3 linked regions of the Pelodiscus sinensis genome follow. The protein of the gene in region 3 interacts with the protein of the main gene of each other region in a biochemical or structural test. Links are inferred from orthologs where the notes say so. Each region holds a gene or a part of one and is shown on either strand. Other genes may lie near its edges.

Region 1 (7,605 bases), on a different chromosome or scaffold from region 3:
TAGGATGGAGGAGGGGTTAAATTCTGTAGCATTTCTGCTTGTCTATCTGGACTTCCGGGTTCTGAACTTGGGGGTGAAGGAGGGAAGTAAGTGGCCTGTGGCTGAAGAAACTGATTTGGCATTGTGTAGGTGCATTGGGGGATTCCCTGGAATTGTTTCATTGTAGTCTGTGGAATAGCAGAGGAGTGAGTGTTAAGGCCTGCCATAGCTGATGGCATGGAAACATTGTTAAGAGAGTCCATTACTGCCGCCTGGGTAGTAGAATTGGGCATATCTAAATCCGGTGAGCTCAAGAGCTGATATAACTGGCCCTGCTGGGGTGTGACAGAAAGATGAATATCTGGAGTAGGAAGCTCTTGCTTGATGAAAATGTTGTTCACATCAGGAGTTTGGTGAGAGCTGAAGATACTGGTAAACTCTGGGAGAGCCTGGGTGGAGGCAGTAGCTTCACTCTGCTGATTGAAGATGGTAACTGGTTCTGTCTTGATGTGGGTTACACATGGTCTCTGGGATTTGTAGAGGCCAGTTCTCAGGTGAGTAATGTCAGGAAGGAAGACATTCATGTTGATACTATAAGGCAACCCTTCACTGTCAGTGAAGAACTGGTCTACAACTGAGGCACTGTCTCTTCTGTATTTTTTATGTTCAGGGATGACAGGAACCGGTGGAAGCTGATGTGTCAGATATTTCTCCATTTCACATCTTGTCTAAACAGAAAAAGAAAACAAAAAAATTCATGATTCGTTACCAATCCAGAGAAAGATGGGGCGCCAAATACTCCTTTACTGGAATAGCTAAGTAAATCTCATCTCTTCAAATAGTTAAAATAATGAAACAAAGCATATCCATTATAAAAGCAGGGTTATTTTACTCAGACACCTCACCAAGAACAAGAGTCAGGCTGACCAACAGTTTATGTAGAACAAGAGTAAAATATTTTTAAAGTATATCATTTAAAATACTTCATCAGAATATTTGCAATAAGATAATGTTACATATCAAAATCTGTATATGTAATTCATTTCTACAGTTATTTCTCGAATATTTCACCATTCTTTTTATAATTAGTTCACACACTTTTCTTTGAAATGTTAATTGCAAAAGCCATGCTTTCATCTGACTACTTCAAAGCTATATTTCAAATAATATATATTCATACTTTTGGAATTTTAGAATCTACATTAAGAGCTACAAAGTCTATAATCTGTCAAAAATGTGTTAACTATGTTCCTACTCATGTCACAATTCTCAAAGATCTTTAGTTCCTACCATGGAAATCAGTCCCTTAGTGCAGTAGTGGTAGGAATCTGTGGGTGGCGAAAGTCTGATGCATTACTGGTACAGTCATCAGTAAAGCATTTATCATGTACTCTCCAATGGGCAAATGTTACATTCCCTCTTACCCTGTAAGAAGTCCAGTCATGCCAAATCCCGTTAACCCCCCCCAAAAGAAAGCATCTGACAAATAGAAAGAAAAGTCTGCTAAAAAAATGTAATTCAAGAGCTTCTGAAAGACGACCAAACACACACAAGACACACCACACACACAACGCCTGCTTTGATCTAGAACTGTCCTTAGCGTGCTAAGCTACTTTTTCCAGCTCTTGTTTACAAGCCAAGGCCAGTTTGCTTTGAAGACAGAAACATGTAGTCTTTGAAGAGAGATACGCTGAGCCACAAGCACTGCAATACAGCCCACTAATATTCACTGCCTTGCTTATCAATTCTCGGCAGCAGAATTCTTCCTCAACCTTGGTAACCCTGCGGCTTAGGGATTGGGCGACTCGGGCTGAGATCCCGGGCCAGCGCCCCCGCCTAAATACACCTTGGAAGGTGCCTGTGCAGAGGTTTGTCACACGGCTCTGGAGCTCCCAGGCCTGCCTGTTCCGTTTATATAATGCCACTTGTGCCACGCGAGGCTGCTCACTAGAATAAACCGCAAACGAAACTATTCAGTGAAAGAGCCCAGCGCTGGAAATAGCCTCAAACTAAGCCCGCTCCTGCGCTAAAACCAGGCTGCGGTTGGCGCTGGCTGATTTTAGCTCGTCCAGCTGTTTGCATGTGGCTCTGTTGCCAAACAGTTTTCTGGGACACTCAGAAAGTCCCGAGAAGTCTCTGCAGCCCCCCCCCCCCCTCCCAGTCTAACATGACCGTGCGTGGGCGAGAGACAGGCGGCTGCGCTAATTCTGCTGCTGGGCAAGTGCAAGGGCAGCAGCTGTAGCTTTCAACACCCTCCCGGGCCCGGCCGGCTCTTCCCCTGCCCGCTCGGTAGCGCTTTGCAAGTTCGAGTCGCCGGCGCCCCGATAAGGTCACTCTCCGGCCCCATTTCCAGCAGCTCCCCGGAGCCGCGGAAGGGCGGCAGCGGATTCCCCACCCAAGAGGGAGAAGGAGAGAGGTTCGCTCCCTTGGAGGCGCGACGCAGCCGGGGAACCCAGCTTCTGGCAGCGTGGAGCTCCCCTCTCCGTCCTATCCCCCTCTCGGGTGGGGCTTCCGTCCTGCGATGGCTCCCGATGGCCGGGAGCCGCCCTGATCCCCCGACCCTGCCTCACCCAGGGCTGGCTCTCGCTCCCCTGCGGGCTAAGCCCGGCTCCAGCGCCCAAGGGCGCCGCCAGTAGGGGACCCGCCCAAGCGGCTTCCCCCTCTCTTACCTGCACCATCTCCTCCGCCGGGATCCTGGCTCCGCCGCCGCCCGCCTGCTGCTGCTGCTGCTTCAGCTCCTCCCGCGGGAACATCGGCGCCTCCCGGGCGCCCAGCACTGGCTTGAGCTGCGCGAACACCGGCTCGTCGGGCTGCTGCACGGGACCCAGGCGGGCGCTCATGGGCAGCACCCGTGTGGCCATGCCCGAGCGGGATCGCTCCGGAGCGGGCACGCAACCTGCCCCCACTGCACGGGACTGTGGCCTGGGGGGGGAGGAAGGGTGAAGAAAATCGCTGCCCTGGTTCTCTTAGCCCGCAACCCCCTGGCACCGTCCTGCACGCAGCCTCCCGCCGCTCCACCTGGCCCGGGGTAGCACTACTAGTGACACATGCCCGCCTCTATTTCAGCCGACCCCACCCTGGCCGGCTACAAGGGGGCTGGCCCTGCGGGGCTGGGCCGCCAATGGAAGCGCGCTCCTTGCCCTCGCCCCGCCTCCCTGGGGCTGGGAGCGTGTCTGCCGCGCCTAGCCGCCAGAGCGTGCCAAGGGGCTGGGCCCCTGGAAACAAGGCGCTTTGCACGTTTTAAGTGGTGCGCCCAGGACCCGAGCCCGAAGGGAGGGTCGCGGCCCTTCCTTTCCCTGCCAGGTTAGGGGCGGACAGCTCTGCATTCCGCGTGAAGCAGGTACCCGAAGCACGCTGCAAACTGTTGATCAGTTTCAACCCCAGAGCAAACCGCGCCTGGGGCTGGGGTAACAAGTGCTCTTGGATGATTTTGTGCAGGTCTGAATATTCAGCGAGATCGAGGAAGATTGGGCAGCAGCGTGAAAGTGGCTTTGAACAAGTGCTGGTAAGCACTAAATGAGGCCCACTTCAGACTTAATTATTATTTACAGTCCCTTAGGGAAGCATGGCTCCAGTACACATTTTAAAATACCCATCCTTAGTATCTTTTCATCTTCAAAGAGCTTAAGAAACATTCTCAAGCGCGCGGGGGGGGGGGGGGTTGGTTTGGTTTAGTTTTTTTTGGGGGGGTGGGGGATTTTTGTTGTCCTGAAAGCACCTCCTACTCCAGACTTCGTGTTAAATTGCAAGCACAGCCAGCATTACCATACACATCTCTGCAACAGTCTGGGAAAATGATATAAAAACAGAGCAAAAGAGAAGGAAGGAGGAAAGAAAAAAGAGTGAGTGAGTCTCTCTCTCAAACAAAGTATACGTGTAGACCAGTGCTTTTCAACCTGTGGTCCATAGAGCCTCTTAAGATTTCTAAAAGGGTCCATACCACCTCCTTCGGAATGTTTTTAGGGGACCGCCAATGAAAAAAGGTTGAAATCCAGTGGATGTTGCACAATAGGGTGAGAAAAGACTGTCTTGATACCTGCAATAGAAGTTATAAGTTAAATGTATCATACCGCATATGAGAATATAAAAAGTGAGATACTATAAATAAATCCTAATTCCTCCTTTTCTTTTCCCAAGCCAGTTCTATATTCCACAGTTGATGTAGTGATACTCACTAATCCTTGGGAAATGTTAATGGCATCCATCCCACTCCTGGATTTACTGACAGACAAAATTTCAAAATTAGTCTCTGGTCAACCTTGCACTTTCCTTCCTTTTATTTCAGGCACTTTCTCCCCAGCAAGAGAGGTGTTACTAAGTCTGAATGTAGGAAGTTAATTACAGAACCAAGAAAGAATTTAGCATAACATTTCTTTACACAAATTGTCTCTTTAGGAACAGTCAGCCACTTGATGTTTGTTATTACAAAAGGAGAGAAGGTTACTCCCCTCAGTCTGTAGCATTCAGAATAATGTGAACTAATTTCAATCCCAACCCTATAAATATAGCTAAGGATCACACACAATCTAATTTCAGCATCCTTCTCTAAAGTATCTTGTATTAAATTTAATTCTCCAGTGTAATTTTAAAATAATTCATGTAATGGAAGGCTTTTCAAGTCTTTATATATAAGAATGTATAGCGTATTTTGCCATGGTTGTTTTCAACTATAATGCCCTTCATGTGCCCCTTATTAACCATTCTGTTTGTATGGGTTTTAAAACTGTTTATAAATGTCAATTTATTTTGATGTTGAACCATAAGATGTGCTCTCACAGGCGCTTTGAACACTTTTCAATTTCTTTTTAAATTACAAATTAAATCTAAATTAGTCAGCAGCAGCTTTAAACAAAACTGATAACCTCCCAAACACTGGCTAATACTTCACCCTCTATCTGGGTACGTCTACACTACAGAGTTTTGTCAGAAAAATGGCCATTTTTCTGACAAAACTTGCGGAACATCCACACTGCAATTGTGTTCTTCCAAAAGTAAATTGAAAGAACAGAGAGCTTTTTCTGACGTTGGTACTCCTCTTTCTGTGAGGAAGAAGCCTTTTTCCGAAAGAGCTCTTTCAGAAAAAGCTGTGTGTGGACGGGGAGGGTTTTCTTTTGGAAGAAGAGGCCTCCAGGAAATAACATAGGTGCCCTGGTGGACATTCTGTCCAAAGAATCACAACTCTGAAAATATCTCTGGAGATATTTAAGAACAGGTTAGATAGACATCTGTCAGGGATGGTGTAGACGGAGCTTGGTCCTGCCTTGAGGGCGGGGGGCTGGACTCGATGACCTCTCGTGGTCCCTTCCAGTCCTATGATTCAATGATTTTATGAACTCTATAGTTCCTGTCTCCAGGCACCCTGGACAAGCCTTGGGGCAGGAAGCTGGCCTTGGAGCAGCACCTTGACCACATAACTCCAAATGCTGTGGCAGGGAGAGCTATGTCCAAGCCACAAGCCTCCTGCAAGCACCCTGGCCCTCGCAGGGAACAGCTCCAGGGGTCCCAGGACCCATCCACGGGGACCAAGAGGCGCACACCCTCTTGGCCTGGACTGCAGGTCCTCTCCCTCCTCGAGCTGTAGGGTGAGGAGGACACCTTGCAGGATCTCAGAGCCAAGTGCTGCAATGCCAACATATATGAGTGGATGGCTGAGTCCTTGGCGGAGCATAGACACCAACCCTGGCCTTGAAACAGGTTCACAGTAAGGATAAGGAGCTCTGCCAAGCATATGTTTGGGTCAGAGAGTGCAGCTCGCGCTCAGAGACAGGACCCCACACTTGCCCCTATTACCAGGAGCTCTACCAGATCCCGGGGGAGGGGGGGGAAACGTCTTCCCCACCCATTTTCATGGACTCCGGCCTGGAGATCCCCGTCATTGCCTGGCCAGAGGTCTTGGCATAGGAGGACCAGGGCCAGTTGGAGGCGGAGGAGGAGACTGAGACTGTCACCCTGTCCCTCAAGCCAGTGCTCGTGAGCCAGGATGTCTCCCAGGCCTCCTCTGATGCCTGGGAGGGATCTTCAGGTGAATGGTCTCACTTTGTCACACATGCAAGGCGGGGAAGGCAGGCACACAGGGAGTGAGGGGGTATCGCTCGGGCTGCTCAGGATGGACACGTGCTGCGGAACCACGTGCAGCATTAGTGTGTGACACGTGGATGCAGCTGGCAGTCCCTGAGCATAGATGGGATCCTGCTGCCAGGCACAGGGGAGGCCACACATGTCCTGCCATGGGGCGGGGAGGCCTGCCACGGCTGGAAGCAGGCTAGCCAGAAGGGTGCAGGCATGACCCCACATAGACTGAGTGCTGCATGTGCGAGGCAACACCTGCTCCCACGGACAGCACTGCAAGCTGCAGGTGTGTGTGTGACCCCAGAGAGGGCCAGGCTGCTCCCATCTCCTCTGCCACCCATGAGGTGATCCCACTGTGGCCAGACACTCCCCTTGCAATCACGCAGCAGAAGTAGAGAAATGGCTGTCCGGGGGGGTCCCTTTAAGCTCCTGTCTCTGCAAGGCTCTGGCACCAGCACTCGGAAGCAACTGGTGACCTAAAGCCCTGCCTGAACTGGTTCCGGATGGCCTTATATGTGAGAGAGCATCCAATCAGTCTGGACATTCTCTTTTGCAAAAGCACATTGATTTTTCCATGTGCTTTTGTGTGTGGACACTCTTTTGGAAGAAGTTTTTTCAGAAGATTTCATCCAAAAAAAAGTCTTCCGAAAGAAGATCTCGTTCAAAAAAAAAAGTCTTCCGAAAAAGCATAGCCTCTATGCTTCTAGAAATTGGCCCAGTACTTCAGTTCTTACTGAAGCACAAGTAAAGTACTTTTTAAAAAGTAACATTTTCTTTTTGGCATGGCACTCACCACTGACAATTAAATAGGCTAGTCATTTTTATGTTTGTTTTTTAATCTGTCTTGCCCACAGATGCAAGGTTTAGATGCAGACAATGAGGGGGCTGTTTAATTTCAAACAAGCAACTGATTTCATTTATATAAAAATAAATTAAACCCTCCATTGTTATACAATGGTTATATAGAGATATAGATATAGATATAGATAGAAAAACAGATAGCTATAGATACACACACACACGCACGCACGCGTTTTAATTCATGAAATATAAGTTAACAAAAGGCAGTGCCCCTTTAAGAAAAGTTGAATGAAATCAAAGTATTTATTGTTAATCAACTGAATATCATGAATACAAACCTTTAATAATTACTAAGATATTTTCATCGCTTTCATTAGGCATATAGAAGTTAGAAATTAGTTTATGCTTAAGGACAAATTGGCAGTGGAAATCAGTAGAAGTTCTTTTAAATGAACATAATTTCAAATAACGTAATTACTGCCATTATTATAAGTAATGGTTTCTCTGAAACACAGAGTATTTCACTGACTGTTAACTAGTTTTAATATACTCTACAACAGAACATACATAGAAAATAACTGTTTATCCCCATGGTAACTATTCAGATATGAATATGTGAGGAAGACCTTCAATGTGTTTAGTTACTGATAAGAAAGGCACAATGCTCTACACTTGAAAAACCATTTGTATATTTAATTTTAAAAAGGGTTAAAACTAGGGATGTAAAAGGTTAAGTGGTAAGCATAAGCCTTAGTG
Region 2 (7,719 bases), on a different chromosome or scaffold from region 3:
TTACCAGTTCAAATTAACTGGTAATCAGAGGGGGCTGGAGCAGCTCCCCACCTTGTCCGGAGTAGCCCCTGTTTCTGGAGAACCCCGGGGGCCTCACAGGCAGGGACTACACCAGTGTCTGGAATAGCCTCTCTCCATGCGGAGTCCAGCTTGCTATGAACAGAGGCTGCTCCAGAGGGGACAACCCCACCGTGACCTAAAATTAACTGGTTAACTGATTAATGGGAATTTACATGCCTAATGAGATGTACTGGAACTGCATTTTTTGAAGTTACTGCAAAACTATTAAGTGTCCTCCATTTCCACATGTCATAATGACAATATGGAACTAACCATGTCAATTACAGGGTGGAGAAGTTCATAATTACCACTGCTGCTTGAAAGGTACATTTCCCATGGAGGTCAGTGGGGCTGGTCTATTTTATATGTAAAGCTACTGAGAAATGTACATGTCAGTACCATGATGGCAATGCCTGTTATGTAAATAATACTTAATAATACAGCCGGTCCCTGAGTTACGAATGAGTTACGGACCAAACACTTGGCCATAACTCGAAGTGTTCGTAACATGGATCCCATTGAGTTACATGGTGACTGCGCTGTTCGTATGCGCAGATCGCGTTCATAACTCGGGGACCACATTTACGACCGCTTTGGTTGTAAATGCGGATGGTCGTATGTGGAGGTGGTTGTAAGTCGGAGACCGGCTGTAATTGCCAAATGAGACCACTTCCCAACCTGCTTACAAAGGGCCTGATCCAATTTAAACTTTAAGCTAGCATTGGGCCAAAAGCAATCTGTTGATATTACCCAAGAAGATCCAGTTAACATTTAGTTACCCTTCAAAAATATAAGGGACCATCAGTAAAAGTTCCACTGCCTGGTAGAGGTGATTTTTGAAGAAAATTGGAGAGACTTTAAATTGACTTCTTCTAACAGCAGCATTTTCTCTCACTGGATGTGGGGTCTTTAGCACAGATTTCTCTTTGTGTGTCAGAATAACTCCGAAATGCATTGTCACTGCTAACTCCATTCAGGTGTAGATAACGTTCAGTCCAAAGACAGAACAAATCCCTTGAAACTGAAAGTCAAAACATCTCATCTCTTCACAAATCTCACAAAGAGCTTGTTCACCCAGACACACAAGTCATGACTAGGGTTGCCAGGTGTCCGGTATTGTACCGGACAGTCCGGTATTTGCGCACTCTGTCCTGTAAAAACCCCCCAGAAAATACCAGACATGTCCGGTATTTTCTGATTTTTCCGGCTGCGCACTGGACGGAAGCCTGGTGTGGACGGGGGAGCGGCTGGGAGTCCCAGCTGGGAGACGGGGCCACAATTGCTGCCTGGAACCCTCAATTGGTTGAGTGTGAAGGGGAGGGGAAGCCTCCTCCTCACTCGTGCATCGCTGGAAGCCTGCACGGGACAGGCAGCAAGTGCCCAGGTCAGTCCCGCTCCCCGCCGGCCAATTTGCTCACCACCCCTCCCTTCCCGGCCAGCCGGTTCTCCCCCACTACCCTTCCTGATCTTCCCCGGCCAGCCCCCCTGCACTACCCCCCAGCTGTGCTTCCCACCAGTCCGTTTCTCTTCCTGATTTCCCCAGGCCAGCGCCGCTGCACCTCTCCCTGCCCCTGCCAGCTCTGCTTCCTGCCCCCCTTCCTCCCAGCCCTGCCCCCGCTACATACCCCCAGTCAGCTGTGCTTCCCGCTCCCCCTTTCTCCCGGCCCCCGCTGCCCCCGCCCCCCACCAGCTCTGCTTCCCACTCCCCCTTCCTCCCGGCCAGCCCCGCCCCGCCCCTTCCGGCCGGTCCCCCCTCCCCCGACATCCCACAGCCAGCCCCGTTCCACCCGCCCCCCCACATGACCAGCCCTGCTTCCCATTGGCCCCCCATCTCCTCCGCCCCCCCTTCCCAGCCAGGCTGGTGCTCCTCCCCCCGCCCTCCAAGCATGTCCAGGGTTGTTTTTTGTTTTCTTTTTTAAATGATTAGCTGGTAACCCCTAGCAGTGATCCAGGTTCTCAGAGGGTTTTTTTGCTCAGTAACTTTGGTTTCCTCCCCCCCCCCCCCCCCCCCCGCCCTTTACTTTTTCCTGCAACAAATTTTTTCCCGGTGGGTTTTTTTTGGGCGGGTGTTCAGTGTTTTTCTTTCAGCCATCTGACAACCCTAGTCACGACAACTCTCTCTGTAGAGACACGATACATTCTGCCTTTCTGTAGCCGTGCCAAGTGTTTTCATGTGGTGTCTTAACACAATGTTTAAATCATCAACTGCTTGAATGAGGAAGACTCACAAAGAGTCTGTCCATCATCCACACCAAAGTGACATGGTGATTTCACTGCCGTGGAAGCAGACCCGATCTCTCTGTGGGTTCTTGTGGAGCAGCAGGAAGCCTGCGATGGTCTCTCAGGGGAGAGGCCGAGGGTGGCTCTATTTCAGTGGTTCTCCAACATTTTGGCCCATGGACTACCTGGCTCAATGTAAACCTTTCCATGGATCACCAGTTGCTAATGGAAACTCACTATTAATTACCCAATTACACCCAAGCCATTTTGGTAGTGCTGCAGCTAGGGAGAATGGTTTAATTTAAATAATTAAACAGATTAAGCATTTAACTTTCTCATTTTATTTTATCCAACTTCATTTTAAATAAAGTAAAATATTAATTTATGTCCAACACAAAAGGGTTCAATGTTTTCTTTATTTATGGCAGGGGTAGGCAATCTTTTTAGGGTCGGAGGCCACTGACACAGAAAAATCAGTGGGGGATCACACAAGTGAGAAACAAAAAACTCCTTCCAAAACCCCCAACCCTCACTGATGTGGCCCCACCACCTGAGACACCTCACTTTTCTGGTGCTCCAGCCTCACGGGGTGAAGGGAAGGGACAGGGAGGACTGAGGTTTAGGGCTTCCCATAGGCCAGATTTACTTTTCTGGGGTTCCAGACTTAGTGGATTTTATAGGCCCCCTTAGGCTCTGGGTTAGGGACAAAACTTAGGGGTTCAGTGTATGGGACAGGGCTGCTGAGTGGGACAGCAATGGGATGCAGGATCTGGGAGGCAGGTGGGGTACAGAAGGGGGACAGGTTGCAAGGGCTGGATGCGAGGTAGGATGAAGAAGCAGGCTGGGAGTAGGGTGTCTGGCCAGGTGGAGGGAGCAGGACCATGGGAGGATGCAGTCTGTGGCCAGGAAGGAGGGTGTAGGAGCAACGGTGGATGAAGGATCAGGGTGGGGGTAGATGTCTTGCAAGTGGTGAGGGTGCAGGAAGAAGGGAAGGTATCAGAGGAAGCTGGAGGTGCGGGATCTTGGCAGGGGGAGAGGGGAGTGAATGAGGGGAATTGGGATGTGGGAGTCTGGCTTCATCACCCCTGTCAGAAGGGAAAGGTTCTGGACAGTGCTGCCATTGCCCCAGCAGGATGAAGAGGAGGAGGGAGTTCAGCTCTCCCCTCCCCTACGTGGTGGGCAGCCCCGCGGAAGAGTGAGCGGCTCTGTGTGCTGCAGCTCCCCCAGGGGCTGGGAAGGGGCAGGGAGAGAAAGTGCAGCAGTGTACAGAGTGCCCTGGCAGAGACCAACCATACCCCACCCCACAGCGCCCCAGCCGGGCTCCACACAATTCCTGCCAAGGCTCAGGCAGCAGCTCCAAGGAACATCTTGCTGGGTTTTTCCTCAGACCAGCACCGCCCCCTCCAGCAGTGGTGGCGGTGGCAGCAGCCACTGTACAAAGAACAGTCTGCGGATGTAGGAGGCGGCATGGCCTGACCGGCGGCCCCGCACAGCAGAGACAGTCCTGTGGGGGGAGGGAAGGGTACTCTCGGAGGTGAGGGTTTGCCAGGTGGGAGTATGCACTGCAATGGAGCTCTGGAAGCAGCCCTGCCTGCCCATGGGCAAAGCACCAAGGGAGCTGCTTATATCCTGGGAGGAGTGGGGGGTTGCTGCTGTGCCATGCTAGCACTGTCTGCGAGGGTGTCCCAGTGGGGGCTGGAAATGGCAGAGCCATTTCTAGCCAGATCCAGCCGGGCTTTCTGGGACATTTCCCTACTTGATGGATAAGTGGGACAGAACATTTGAGTTTGGGACTGTCCCGGAAAAACTGGGCCGTCTGGTCAGTATAGCTATATAGCACAGGGGCTGGCAACCTTTTCAGATCACAGACTCAAACTACATCAAAATTCAGAACAAGTGGTCAACAAAGAGCCGTATCAGAATGCCCATTTGCATGACTGAAAATATACAAATTAATATTCTTGATAATTGACATCATGATTAATGACAGCACAAATGAAACATTGTACTCGTAGACTTAATTTAATGGGACTTCTGCGGCTGCTTCTTTTCGCACATTTCTTTGAAGTTTACATCATAACTGGTGAAATCCAGCTTCATGCTCCCATTCCAGCTACATAAGCAATTAGACGTTTGTACAATTTTGAATTAATATTTTATTTTGATTTTAAAAGTTGCCTGTATTTGGGGAATGACAAACGAGCCATACTTTGCTCCTACAGCATAACCCCTCGCTGAGGGACTCTATGGGGCCTACAGGTCCCATCATGCAACACGCCACCTCTAAAGGGCCCACGGGAACCACAAGTCCCAGCATGCAACACACCATGGCGGAGGAGGACCCAGGGAGACTACAAGTCCCAGCATGCTCCGCTCCCGCCGCCCGGCGGAGCCGCTTTGCATACCGGGCGAGTGAATCTCAGCGCATGCCTCATCCCACACCAAGTGGTCTCTCGCTGCGCAGGCGCAGTGTTGCTTGCATCCCATAGACCGAAGTCGGCCACAGCGGGAGGCCGGGAGCTCGAGGGGGCGGCGGCCATGGCGCTGAACAGGAACCACTCGGAGGGGGGTGGCGTGATCGTCAATAACAGCGAGAGGTGAGAGCCCCGCCCCCTTCCACCGGGGTTCTCCCCCCGGGAGCCGTTACCGCGGGGGGTGGGGTAGAGCTTGGGTCACGTGATTGGGCAAGGGGGGGGCTCTTAGGTCCCGCCCTTAAGGTGGGCCGTTGGGGGCGAGGGAGAGTCCCCCTCCCCCCTTCCCGGAGTGGTGGGACCCCCCCCCCCCCCCCCGGCCATGCAGCCTGATCCCCGCTTCCTGGCCTGGCCACAGCGCGCCCTGCGGGTGTACGAGGCGGCCGTTTACACGGTTACCCCAAACCGTTACACGCGGCTCCCTGGGGCGCCCGCTGCTCTTTTCTGTACCGGGGGCAGGAGGCGGGGCGGCAGCCGGCTCCGCGGGAGCGGGGTGGCAGGGGCTGGTGCGCCCTGCAGATGGCGTAAAAGCAGCTCTTGGCAGTGCTGGCTGCTGTCCCACGTGTAGCCGCAATGGTTACACACTTAGCCAGTTACACACATGTTAACATCCCTGTGCTCTAGTGCTGCTGGACGTGATGCCCATCTAGTGCCAGCGGCAGGGACCCAGGCGGATCCATCTCCTACCCCCTTGCCACGCTCTCCGCTGTTCAGCAATCTCCTACTCTCTGGAAGCTACCCTCTACTATGCTAGCGTTTGTGCCCACAAAAGCTCATGATACCCTCTACACGTTTTGTTAGTCTTTAAGGAGCTGTAACACTATTTGTTGTTTTTTAAGTTTTTCCTGTTACAGACTAACTCAGCTACTCCTCTGAAGCCTTTGCTACTTTGTTAGTGGATATTGTGCTGGAGAAAGATGTTGAGTTGGCGCCCTGGAGACTTAAAATCCTGTGTTGCCATAGAAGATGCTCAGTCTGGCTAGCAGCAGAACACCTTTCCCTGTGCTTCCCTGCCAGTGTGTGTCAGCTGTAACATATTAGGCACTTGTTCTGGCACAGCAGGGTAGTTCACTCCTCATGGCTGCTGACCTCTTGGACCTGACCAACACTCAGTTTTTGTGCAGATGTCTGCTGAGACCTGTTCTATGCATAGATTTTACTATTTCAGTTAGCAGTTGGATTTTACATTAATGTAATTTAATCCAGGTAACCCCCCTGCTATTGTGGACAGTTATACTAGCATAGAGGTGCTATGACTATGAGGTTAAGCTATATAAATATAAGGCACCTTTATACTGGTGTAACTGCAGCCACTCTAGCAAGTTGCACTGATTTAACTTACCAGTTTCTAAATCAAACTAAATCCATTTAAAAACTGTGTTGACAAGCCCAGAAACTGACCAAAAAGCCATTTGTGGTAATGCTTTTTATGATAGGGACACTTGTCTGCTGAGTGTTGGATTGAGGTCATCAGCTCACATTACATAGGCTCCCAAATAGTACACAAAACACTCCTCTGGATCAAGTTCTAATAGTGGGCCTCTTCTTTCCTTTGCTTGCTTGTAGCGTTTTGATGACCTATGACCACGTAGAAATTACATTCAGTGATATGGAACACGTGCCAGATGCCTTCAAAGGGACCAAGAAAGGAAGTGTCTTCTTGACTCCATTTAGAGTAAGTAATTAGTTTTTGTAATGGGATCAGATGCTTTAAATAGACAGTGACAGAAAATTTTTTCTTGTTTCTGCAAGTATGGTTAATCTAGGAGCTCTCAAAAATGGCTGATCTTTGGACCTCAGCAGCATCATGAATGCATTGTAAATCCTTGTCAAAAGACATAAATACTAATTAGTTTCTGTAAGCAGCTATATAGCCTGGTAGGGATCCTTAGGTTGAAATGCAAATGCTTAATGCATTAGTTAAACTATTAATCATAGCCATCCAGAGAGCAGCAAGCTCACTAGAAATCGGGAGGAGAGAGGTTTAGATCATGTATGTTTCTAGAAGGTACTTCAGCTTACAATCATTTTGCTACTATTCTGAAGGTCTGGTGACCTGCAGGGTTTATGAAGAGCTCCAGGCGTGGGAAGCAGTTTCAGCACCCCAAACTCCATCTTTGCGCAGTAAATTATCCCTATGTGCTGTGCTTGTTCTAAATGTGGCTTACTGTGAGTTTGCTCCTCTCCCCTGCAGGTTATCTTTGTGTCCAAGGGAAAGGATCCTATGCAGTCTTTCATGATGCCTTTTTATCTGTTGAAAGATTGTGAGATTAAACAGCCTGTCTTTGGAGCAAATTATATCAAGGGGACAGTGAAAGCAGAGACAGGAGGTATGTATTTTTTGGTTACAGTAGTGCAAGGATAGTTGCACAGCGTCAGATTCAGAGAAGTATCAAGTTTAGCAATAAGCTAAAATGGGTGGTATCCATGTGGATACTCAGTGTTCAGTACTTTTAACATGTATGTATTTCTTTAAAATCTGTAACCAAAAATGCTTCTCCTTTCCCTTTCTCCAAGTCCAGTTACAATGAGTTGGTCTGTTTCAGAAACCAATCTAATTTCTACTCTGTTCTGAATGTTAAATTTTACTTGGCCGAATTATCTCATTCACTAAACATCCATAAGAGGATCATAACAGAGAGAAGGTCATGCTAACAAGGCTTTTAGGCAGACGAGGGGAACTATGTCCTGAAGGGCACATCTGGCCTATCAGACCCTTCAGTGCTGCCTCTGAGTTCCCATCGGGAAGTGAAGTCGGGATAGCCTTGCCAGGAGATCCCAGCCCAACTTCCAGGCAGCATGATGAGCAGGGGTGGCTAGACCCTGCCCCCCCCCCTTCCTTCTAGCTCCTCTTCCCACAGCCTAACCTCCCCCAGGACCTGGGCAGTGTCCTGATGCTTCCAGCAGCGAGGCAGCAGCTCTGGACGAGTGGCACAAGTGTTGGATGGGGGCCAGTCAGAAGGGCAGG
Region 3 (7,667 bases):
CGTGCCAGGGCCCCCCTTTGGCCCTACTGGGAGGGCGGTGGGGATGCCCGCTGGGAGCGGAGAGGGAGGGTCTCTGTGTCAGGCGGGTAACCTTGTTTGTGCCGTTCCTGGCCTGGCCAAGGGGGTGGATGGGGCTGAGCCCTGACCCGTGTCCGTGCCGAGCTTGTGGGAAGCGCTTGAGTCGCAGGGAAGCAGCAGGGCAGTCCCAGAGGCGGCCCTTGTCGCTTTACCTAGAGCGGTGAAAGAGGAGAGGGAGTTAGGTAACAGAAATGCAACATCCCTCCGCGCAACCGGGCAGGGGTCCAGGGATACCCCAAGCCTCCCCCGCGATAGACGTGACCCTGCCGCCTGCCTTCCCCACCCTCCTTCTATGGGCAGGGGAGGTACTGGGCTGCTTTGCTGCAGCTCGTTGTGGGGCTGGAGGGACAATTAATGCTGTTACTGCCCAGCTTAGAAGTGCCTGCAAATCTTTCTGGTGCTGTGTAACGTCTGACTCCTTCAGTGGTTGATATTTGTATTTTAAAATGTCAGTGGTTTAACAGAATATGCAGAAGTTATTTGCTGTTGTTATAAATGCTATCGTGAGCTACAACAGCATAGTGTGTGTTCCATTTACTGTAGTGACTTCTTTCTATTTACTGATCCTTATTTTAATAACAAAATAGGTGTCTAAATGGAACTACATTAAAGGCATGCATTTTGCTGTACGTCCCTTTAAACAAGATTTAGTTAAAACAATCTGTCAAAATATATGAACAAAAATTAGTACATGAATTTGTAACAGAATGTTCAAATCTGACAAAGTCATTTTCAAAAATACCGTGATGATCTCCTATTCATATAGGAAATCATCAGAATGGTATTCTTGGGTAGCTATCCAGGTTATACAATTATGCAGAAATTGGCTCACTAGATTATGCTGTCACATATTTAGTATATTTAACATATGAATGAATGGATGGATAGCACTTCCAATAAAAATAGTGCAGCATTTATATTTTGCTTGTGCTACTAAACAGTTTTGTTGGGGAAAGAATAAATTGATTATTGATGATGTCTTATAATCTTTCACAAATTCATTGAGGTTTTTATTAAATGGGATTTGATAAACTAATGTTAATCTACTACATTTGAACTCAGTTAATGTATTTCAGTGTTTTCCTAACTTATGGTCTAATGAGCTGTAAAGGCTTGACCAAAATGAAAACTGTTCATGGTCTTTTCTTTATTTTTGGGGAGGAGGTGGCAGTAGCTTACTTAGACTCGGCCCTAAGACATGAGTGAAATGAGAGGCCAAAATACATGAAACTCCTATTACTTGTAAGACCAGTTGATTTTTTTTTTAGCACTCTTATGCCATTACCTCTCTTCCCCATGTGGTGGTGTGTACAATAGGTTAGACTTCTTTATAATGGACTGATTCTGCAAACACTCCTGGATACAATGTGCTTTGTGGAGTAGTGCTTATGGCCAGTAATGTTTTTAGTGTTACATAGTTATACATGTGATCATAATGCATATATGTGAAGCTATTCATATAGGTACGAATTTGCAACATCTAGGGCAGCGCTAGGCATCACAGGCTAGTGAGTGGGCCACATGAGTGGCTGTCCATCTCAGTGGGCTGCGAAATTTTTGTGACAAAGATAGTCTCTCAGTATACGGTAGTTTTGCTAACTGCACTTGTGTACCTAGAATTTGCAGGATGCGTCAACAGAAACGTAAGAGTGCTTTGATTGGATGCAGAAGAAGCGCACTGCTTTCACAGTCAATGTTATGTTCAATCAACTTGCTCCTCACTTCACATGCCTTTGTTTTACATGTGTATCACTTTAGTAATACTGATAGGGGGGAAAAAGACACCAAAAGAAACCAGCAGAATTTGACAACTCTGTGCATGAGCAACAGTAAATGCAATGTCTTGCCAGCAACATACAGAACCCTAATGGGCCTCATATGGCCCTCAGGTCACAGGTTGCCCACCACTGATGTAGAGTGTGCCTTCTTGGAGTAACTTACCAATTGTGGGCTTCAGTTTGTTTCTTTGAAGCTTAAAGGATATGTTGGGGTAGCAAATGCAATCCCCGGGTTACATGGATCCGACTTACATCGGATCCCTACTTACAAACGGGGTGAGGCAACCCCACACTAGCTACTTCCCCCCAGCAGACCAGGGAGATGCGAAGCTAGCACCCCACCCCAGCAGACCAGGGAGACGCAGAGCGGCTTTTCTTAGCAGACACGTCAGCTTGAGAATAAAGGACTGAGGGAAGTGAGGTGTGGGAGAATAAAACTGAGTTCTGGAGAAATGTTTGGCTAGAGTTTTCCCCTACAATATGTACCAGTTCCGACTTACATACAAATTCAACTTAAGAACAAACCTACAGTCCCTATCTTGTACGTAACCCGGGGACTGCCTGTAGTTTTTAAAGTCTTACATTAAAAATACATTAATGAAACAAATAAAATGTTAGCAGATTTGCACACCTATTTGAGACCAAACTTGAACTCTGTTTTGCCTGTGCTACAAGGGCACCGTGGAAGGATCCAAGATAGAGGTGATCCACTTTTTCTCAGATCATGGAAGGACTCATGGAGACATAGTTGTTTCGTTGTTCTCTACTAGTCTTGTCCTTAATTGCTCGCCTGACTCTTTGAAAAACACTGAAAAAAGAAAAAAACCTGTCTCAGAATTCGGTGCATGAATGCTGAGTTGGAATACCCTGCCATCCTAATCACCTTCTTCCCTCTCTCCTGAAAAGGAAATAGTGGAGCCTGAGAGATCCTTCTAATGTTTTCAGTTTTGTACTGTGATTAAAACAGGGATCTAGGGGATGAGTCTTCCTCACTCATTGACGACTTTGAGAAAAGAGGATAAAGCTTGACATAAAATTGTTTTAATATTTAGAAATTAACACATTAAACAGGCTTCACAAAACAAAAATTGATATACATTTAGAACCAAAACTAGGTGTTGAGTGCTGCTTTAAGATAGCCACTTTAAAACTAGGATGCAGAAAATGAAGCCAATGGGGGGAGTAAATAACTTTTTAAAAAAAATGCTTAGTTGTAATTTCAGTACTTTACTTGGCCAACTTGGCAAGCAAGTATACCACATGGTTGCACCAAAATATGAACTTTGTTAGTAAGAATACTGTTATAGTTTTTTTAGTAATATTACCTTAAAGTATGTAAATTATAAGTTAAATCTCTTTTTAAAACCCAACTGTACTTACTGTGTGTGTGTAATTTTTTGCATGCCTATTCAAAGTCTTCTCTTTCCAGAGGGATCAGTCATGTTACTCATGGTACTGTTAACCACTCCACTTTTTAATTAATGACACTTTCAGAAATTCGTAAGAAATTTTCACTGGATAGTTGAGACAGGTTTGTAAAATACTATTGCCAGTGCTAAATTCAAAATTTTCTGGGTTGTGTGTGATGCTCAGTAGCTTTTGCAAGTTTTAACCTTTTCATTAATAAAAATTAGATTTCAAGCTCTTATGTTTGCAGTTGATGCAGTGCAGTCTTCCTGAGTTTACAGGCAGCACCAGTGCTGTGGCTGCTGTTCATATCTTTTCTAAACAACGGAATGAAAGTAATGGTCAGTTTCACTTGTTTCATTACTGGTCACAGTGTTCTAAATAGCAACAATTAAATTAACAAGAATCCTGTTATTTTTTTACTCTGCTGCATTTTGTGAAAGCCATAAACAAGAACTGCCAAATTAATTCTATACCAAAGACTGAATTCCATGTTTAATTATGATAGTGGCTCAGAATATAAATTTATGACTATATATTATCCTTACTCCACAGTCAAATTCCCACAGATGGCAGTGGGCGATTTTCACAAAGAATCATTGTGGAATATGGCCCAGTGTAGTAAATAAACTTTTACTTTTATTTTTAAAATTGTAATATTCAGTAAGAAGGATTGTTTTTTTTAAATACTCTTCTTGAGGATCACCACTGTTCCTTGGGTTTTTTTCTGTCTTCATCACCCTTCTCCACCTCATTTCCCCTCTTATCTGTTCAGCTGATCAGCAGTGAAATAGTTAATATTGACTATTAAAGTGAGTATTGCCCACTGGCATTAACTCTTGTGTGTGTAACAAATGGCAGCAGGGGAGTTCACATTTCAGACTAGATCTACACTAATCCCAGCTAAGTCAATAATGTAGCTGGAGTCAATGTACCTTAGGTCAAGATACTGCGGCGTCTATCTTGAATGGGGTTGATGGAAAACATTCTCCTGTTGACTTACCTTACGCTTCTCATCAGGGATAGCATATAGGGGTTGACTGAAGAGCGATCTGTGGTCAATTTGATGGGTCTTCACTATACCCACTAAACTGACTGCCAGTGAATCGATCTCCACTCTTGCAATACAACTGTAGTGTAGATACTGCCTCAGGCTTTGTGTACACTAAGGGGAGGAGGGGACTGGATTACACAACTACAGCTACATGAATATAATAGTTGAAGTTGATGTACTTAGATCTTCTTACTGCGGTGTCTTCACTCTGCTGTGCCAATGGGAGAACTTCTCCCTCAGACTTCACTTATGCTTCTCAGGACAGTGGAGTATACAAATTGATGGGAGAGTGCTCTTCACCCGACCAGATAAATTGACTCTTGCTGCATCAGTTGCTGCAATGCCTATCTAATGGTAAGTGTGGACTAGTCTTTATTTTGGGCTGTTTTCAGACTCTCTAAAAGGCAACACTGCACTAGTTACATGCAGGTCACATTTTGAAAGCCACCTCCTTCCTCCGTCTCAAAACATTTTTTGTGTGTGATTGTAGATGTATATATTTTTTTAAAATAAATTATCATGACTATTAAGGCTGCTATAAAAAGAGGTGGTATTTACTAAGGAGCAAAAGGAGTGGACACCCCACCAAATAACCTTGAGAGATATGGAAGAGGAAGCTCCTTCCTACCAGAAAAAGAGGTACTCTAGAATAATGGTTCTTGAGCAGGGGTCTGGGGCTTGATGGCGCTGGCTATTTCCATGTGGAGAGAATCATGGTTGCTTCTCTCCAGACTCTCTCCTGAGGCAAAGCAGTCAGTGAAGGTTCTCCGCTTCAATGGGGGGAGGGATAGCTCAGTGGTTTAAGCATTGGCCTGCTAAACCCAGGGTTATAAGTTCAATCCTTGCAGAGGTCATTTGGGGCAAAAATTTGTCAGAGATGGTACTTGGTCCTGCTGCAAAGGCAGGGGACTGGACTTGATGACCTTTCAAGGTCCCTTCCAGTTCTAGGAGATAGGCAATCTCCCCTAATTAAATGGGGTGGCCCTGTGAGAAGGAGATTCTAAGCTCCATGGACTAAAAGACTCTTTCATGACCTTCCACACCCTCAGCCTGTAAGTTCTGGGCCTGGCTCATAAGAAGTTCCATCCTCAAATCCTAGTATCTCCGTCTTTCCAACCTTGAGAGGACTCAAAAAAAAAGGGGGGGGGCACATTTGCTAGGGAAGAGAGAGTCTGTTTCACTCTTCCACACATCCTGGCTCCTGGCTTCTCCCATTCCCAGGCCCACTTCTAGCACCTATTTTGAGGGTACCTTCAAGGACGACGTACCTCTGATATTGCCACATCCTTCGTCTTGTAACATTCTCATACCATCTCCATCCTTTCTTTCCAGCCTGGTGCTTTGTCACTTCAGACTGGTGGGTCCTCAGTGTAACGTGGCAGCGTTGTATCCTCCAGCTCTTGTCTATCCCCCTTTCCCGCTCCTCTCCCTGTCCCTCTTCAAGGACTCTTCTCATGAGCGGCTCCTTCTGCAAGAAGTTGAAGGACTTGTTCAGATGAGGGTCAGTGTAGGAGGTTCCAAAGTGCTACAATAACCAGGGATTTTATTTCCTCTACTTGCTCATCCCCGAGGCTACAGGATGAAGGGGCACTTCAACCCATTCTGGATCTGCATGATCTGAACTGTTACCTGGTGAGGCTTAAGTTCTGCATGATCTCCCTGGCCTCCATTATTTCTTCCCTGGATCCCAGACATTGGCACACTGCCCTCGGTCTCAAGGATGCTTACTTCCATGTTGCCATTTTTTAGGGGCTCATAGAGAATTTCTGTGATTTCTGAAGTGCACTAGGAATGTTATTGTGTAATTGAATAGTTTTGTAATCAAGTGGATTTTATCAGTTACACAGCTATTTGATAGTCTCTGTAGTGGGGAGGAGGGCAGCAGCCAGTGTGTTCCAGGCTCCACTCCTGGGGAGACCCCTGCCATCTTACATTGCTGCCTTTCTCTCAAGGACACCAGCATGGGGTGGCAGGTGGAGTTGGTTTTGTTAAAGCTGGCTTCTGCCTGCCACTCTGTGCTGCTGCCTCTGCTACAGGAGCAGCAGCATGGGGTGGCAGCAGCCCCTGTCCAAGGGGGGGTCCAAGCTCCCCATGGACAGAGGTTGCTCCGGGGCAGCAGCCCCTATCCACAGAGAGCTTGGTATGCCCACAGCCAAGGTTTGCTGCCATGGACATAGGCTGCTCTGTGGGATGCTGAAGCCACCTCTGTCTGTGGGGAGCTCGGACCCCTTGCAGATGGGGACTGCTGGCATGGAGCAGCTTCCCCTGCCCTCCCTAGCTCTGCTGCCTCTTGGGGACAGGCAGTACCGTGGAGCTATTGTTGGGGGGGGGGGGGGAGACCATCTTTTAAGCTGGCTCCCCCAAGCATTGGCTCCTGCCAGCCTTCTCTGCATGGCTTCTGTAGGAGGCAGCAAGGTGCGGGGGAAGCGGGGTCCATAGAGTCGACATGTGTGGGGAGTCTGCTTGAAAGCTTGTCCCACCTGCCCCCCTCACCCTTCATGCTGCTGCCTCTCAGAGGCATCAGTGAGAGGGGCTGGGAGGGGGGAGGGAGGTTAGGCTTATCCAGCTTCTCATGGGCACTGGCTTCCTCTCCCTGCCTCTGATACAGAGGCAGCAAAGCCAGGGGGTGGGGGGTGAGGGGGAATAAGCAATAAGGCTGGTCAAGGGGGACTCCTAGTCCAATGTCCACCTGCATGTGTATCTTCTGCTCTGCCTATGCCACCAGCTTGGTCTGTTGATGAATTCAGAAAAGTCTGTTAATGCTGATTCAATGCAGAGAGTTTATGGAGCAGAGCTGGAGTCTGCTCTGGCCCAGGCCTTCCTTCTGCTGGATGGCTTTCATGCTCTCATGGACCTCGTGACCCATCCGCATACTAGGAATGTGATTGTTTAACTGTTACCCAGGGACAGTGTCCTGCTTATGGCCCACTGTGAGTGGAGGGCTGCTCCCGCCCTGCAAGGCTACTGGCTCTTAGCTCATGTGGTCTGGGAATCAGCAGCCTCGCACAGGGCCGCAACCTTCCCTCTTACCCTGCTGCCACTTCTGGCCTGTGTGGGGGAGCCATCTTCCCCCCCACCCCGACCAGCCATGTGTGTGGCTGCCGACTCCCAGCCAGGGTGAGCTGGGAGATGGAAGCCCAGCGCAGGTTTGGAAGCAGCTGGGCTGGAGCAGCCCTTGCCTGTGGTGTGGAATCCGCTCCAGCCTAGCCATGGCTCCTACCTCCATTTAATCAGTTAGCCAGTTTAACCCAAATTGAAATTTGTGTACTAATTAAATGAGATTTTACTTCCCTACTGTGTGCTTCATGGAGCACTACAGCCAGAATATATCTTCCATTATTTGGGCACAT

Evidence for each region. The genes of interacting proteins can lie anywhere in the genome.
Region 1: of the proteins of WWP1 (region 3) and KLF5, one has a biochemical effect on the other in vitro, tested with the Homo sapiens proteins (4 studies listed by BioGRID, with this or other methods). The link is inferred for Pelodiscus sinensis from reciprocal best matches to the Homo sapiens genes WWP1 and KLF5.
Region 2: of the proteins of WWP1 (region 3) and WBP2, one has a biochemical effect on the other in vitro, tested with the Homo sapiens proteins (2 studies listed by BioGRID, with this or other methods). The link is inferred for Pelodiscus sinensis from reciprocal best matches to the Homo sapiens genes WWP1 and WBP2.

The regions. Positions count from the first base shown.
Region 1 is NC_134711.1:268,922,444-268,930,048, forward strand, and holds the start of KLF5 (Krueppel-like factor 5), read right to left. Parts: upstream 3,012-7,605; 5' UTR 2,841-3,011; coding exon 2,649-2,840; intron 1,424-2,648; exon of another isoform or gene 1,273-1,423; coding exon of another isoform or gene 1,270-1,272; intron 708-1,269; coding exon 1-707. UniProt on the Homo sapiens protein: Transcription factor that binds to GC box promoter elements. Activates the transcription of these genes.
Region 2 is NC_134730.1:11,160,443-11,168,161, forward strand, and holds the start of WBP2 (WW domain-binding protein 2), read left to right. Parts: upstream 1-4,708; 5' UTR 4,709-4,818; coding exon 4,819-4,877; intron 4,878-6,317; coding exon 6,318-6,426; intron 6,427-6,945; coding exon 6,946-7,081; intron 7,082-7,719. UniProt on the Homo sapiens protein: Acts as a transcriptional coactivator of estrogen and progesterone receptors (ESR1 and PGR) upon hormone activation. In presence of estrogen, binds to ESR1-responsive promoters. Synergizes with YAP1 to enhance PGR activity.
Region 3 is NC_134712.1:45,701,735-45,709,401, reverse strand, and holds the start of WWP1 (NEDD4-like E3 ubiquitin-protein ligase WWP1), read left to right. Parts: upstream 1-4,649; 5' UTR 4,650-4,668; coding exon 4,669-4,671; intron 4,672-7,667. UniProt on the Homo sapiens protein: E3 ubiquitin-protein ligase which accepts ubiquitin from an E2 ubiquitin-conjugating enzyme in the form of a thioester and then directly transfers the ubiquitin to targeted substrates.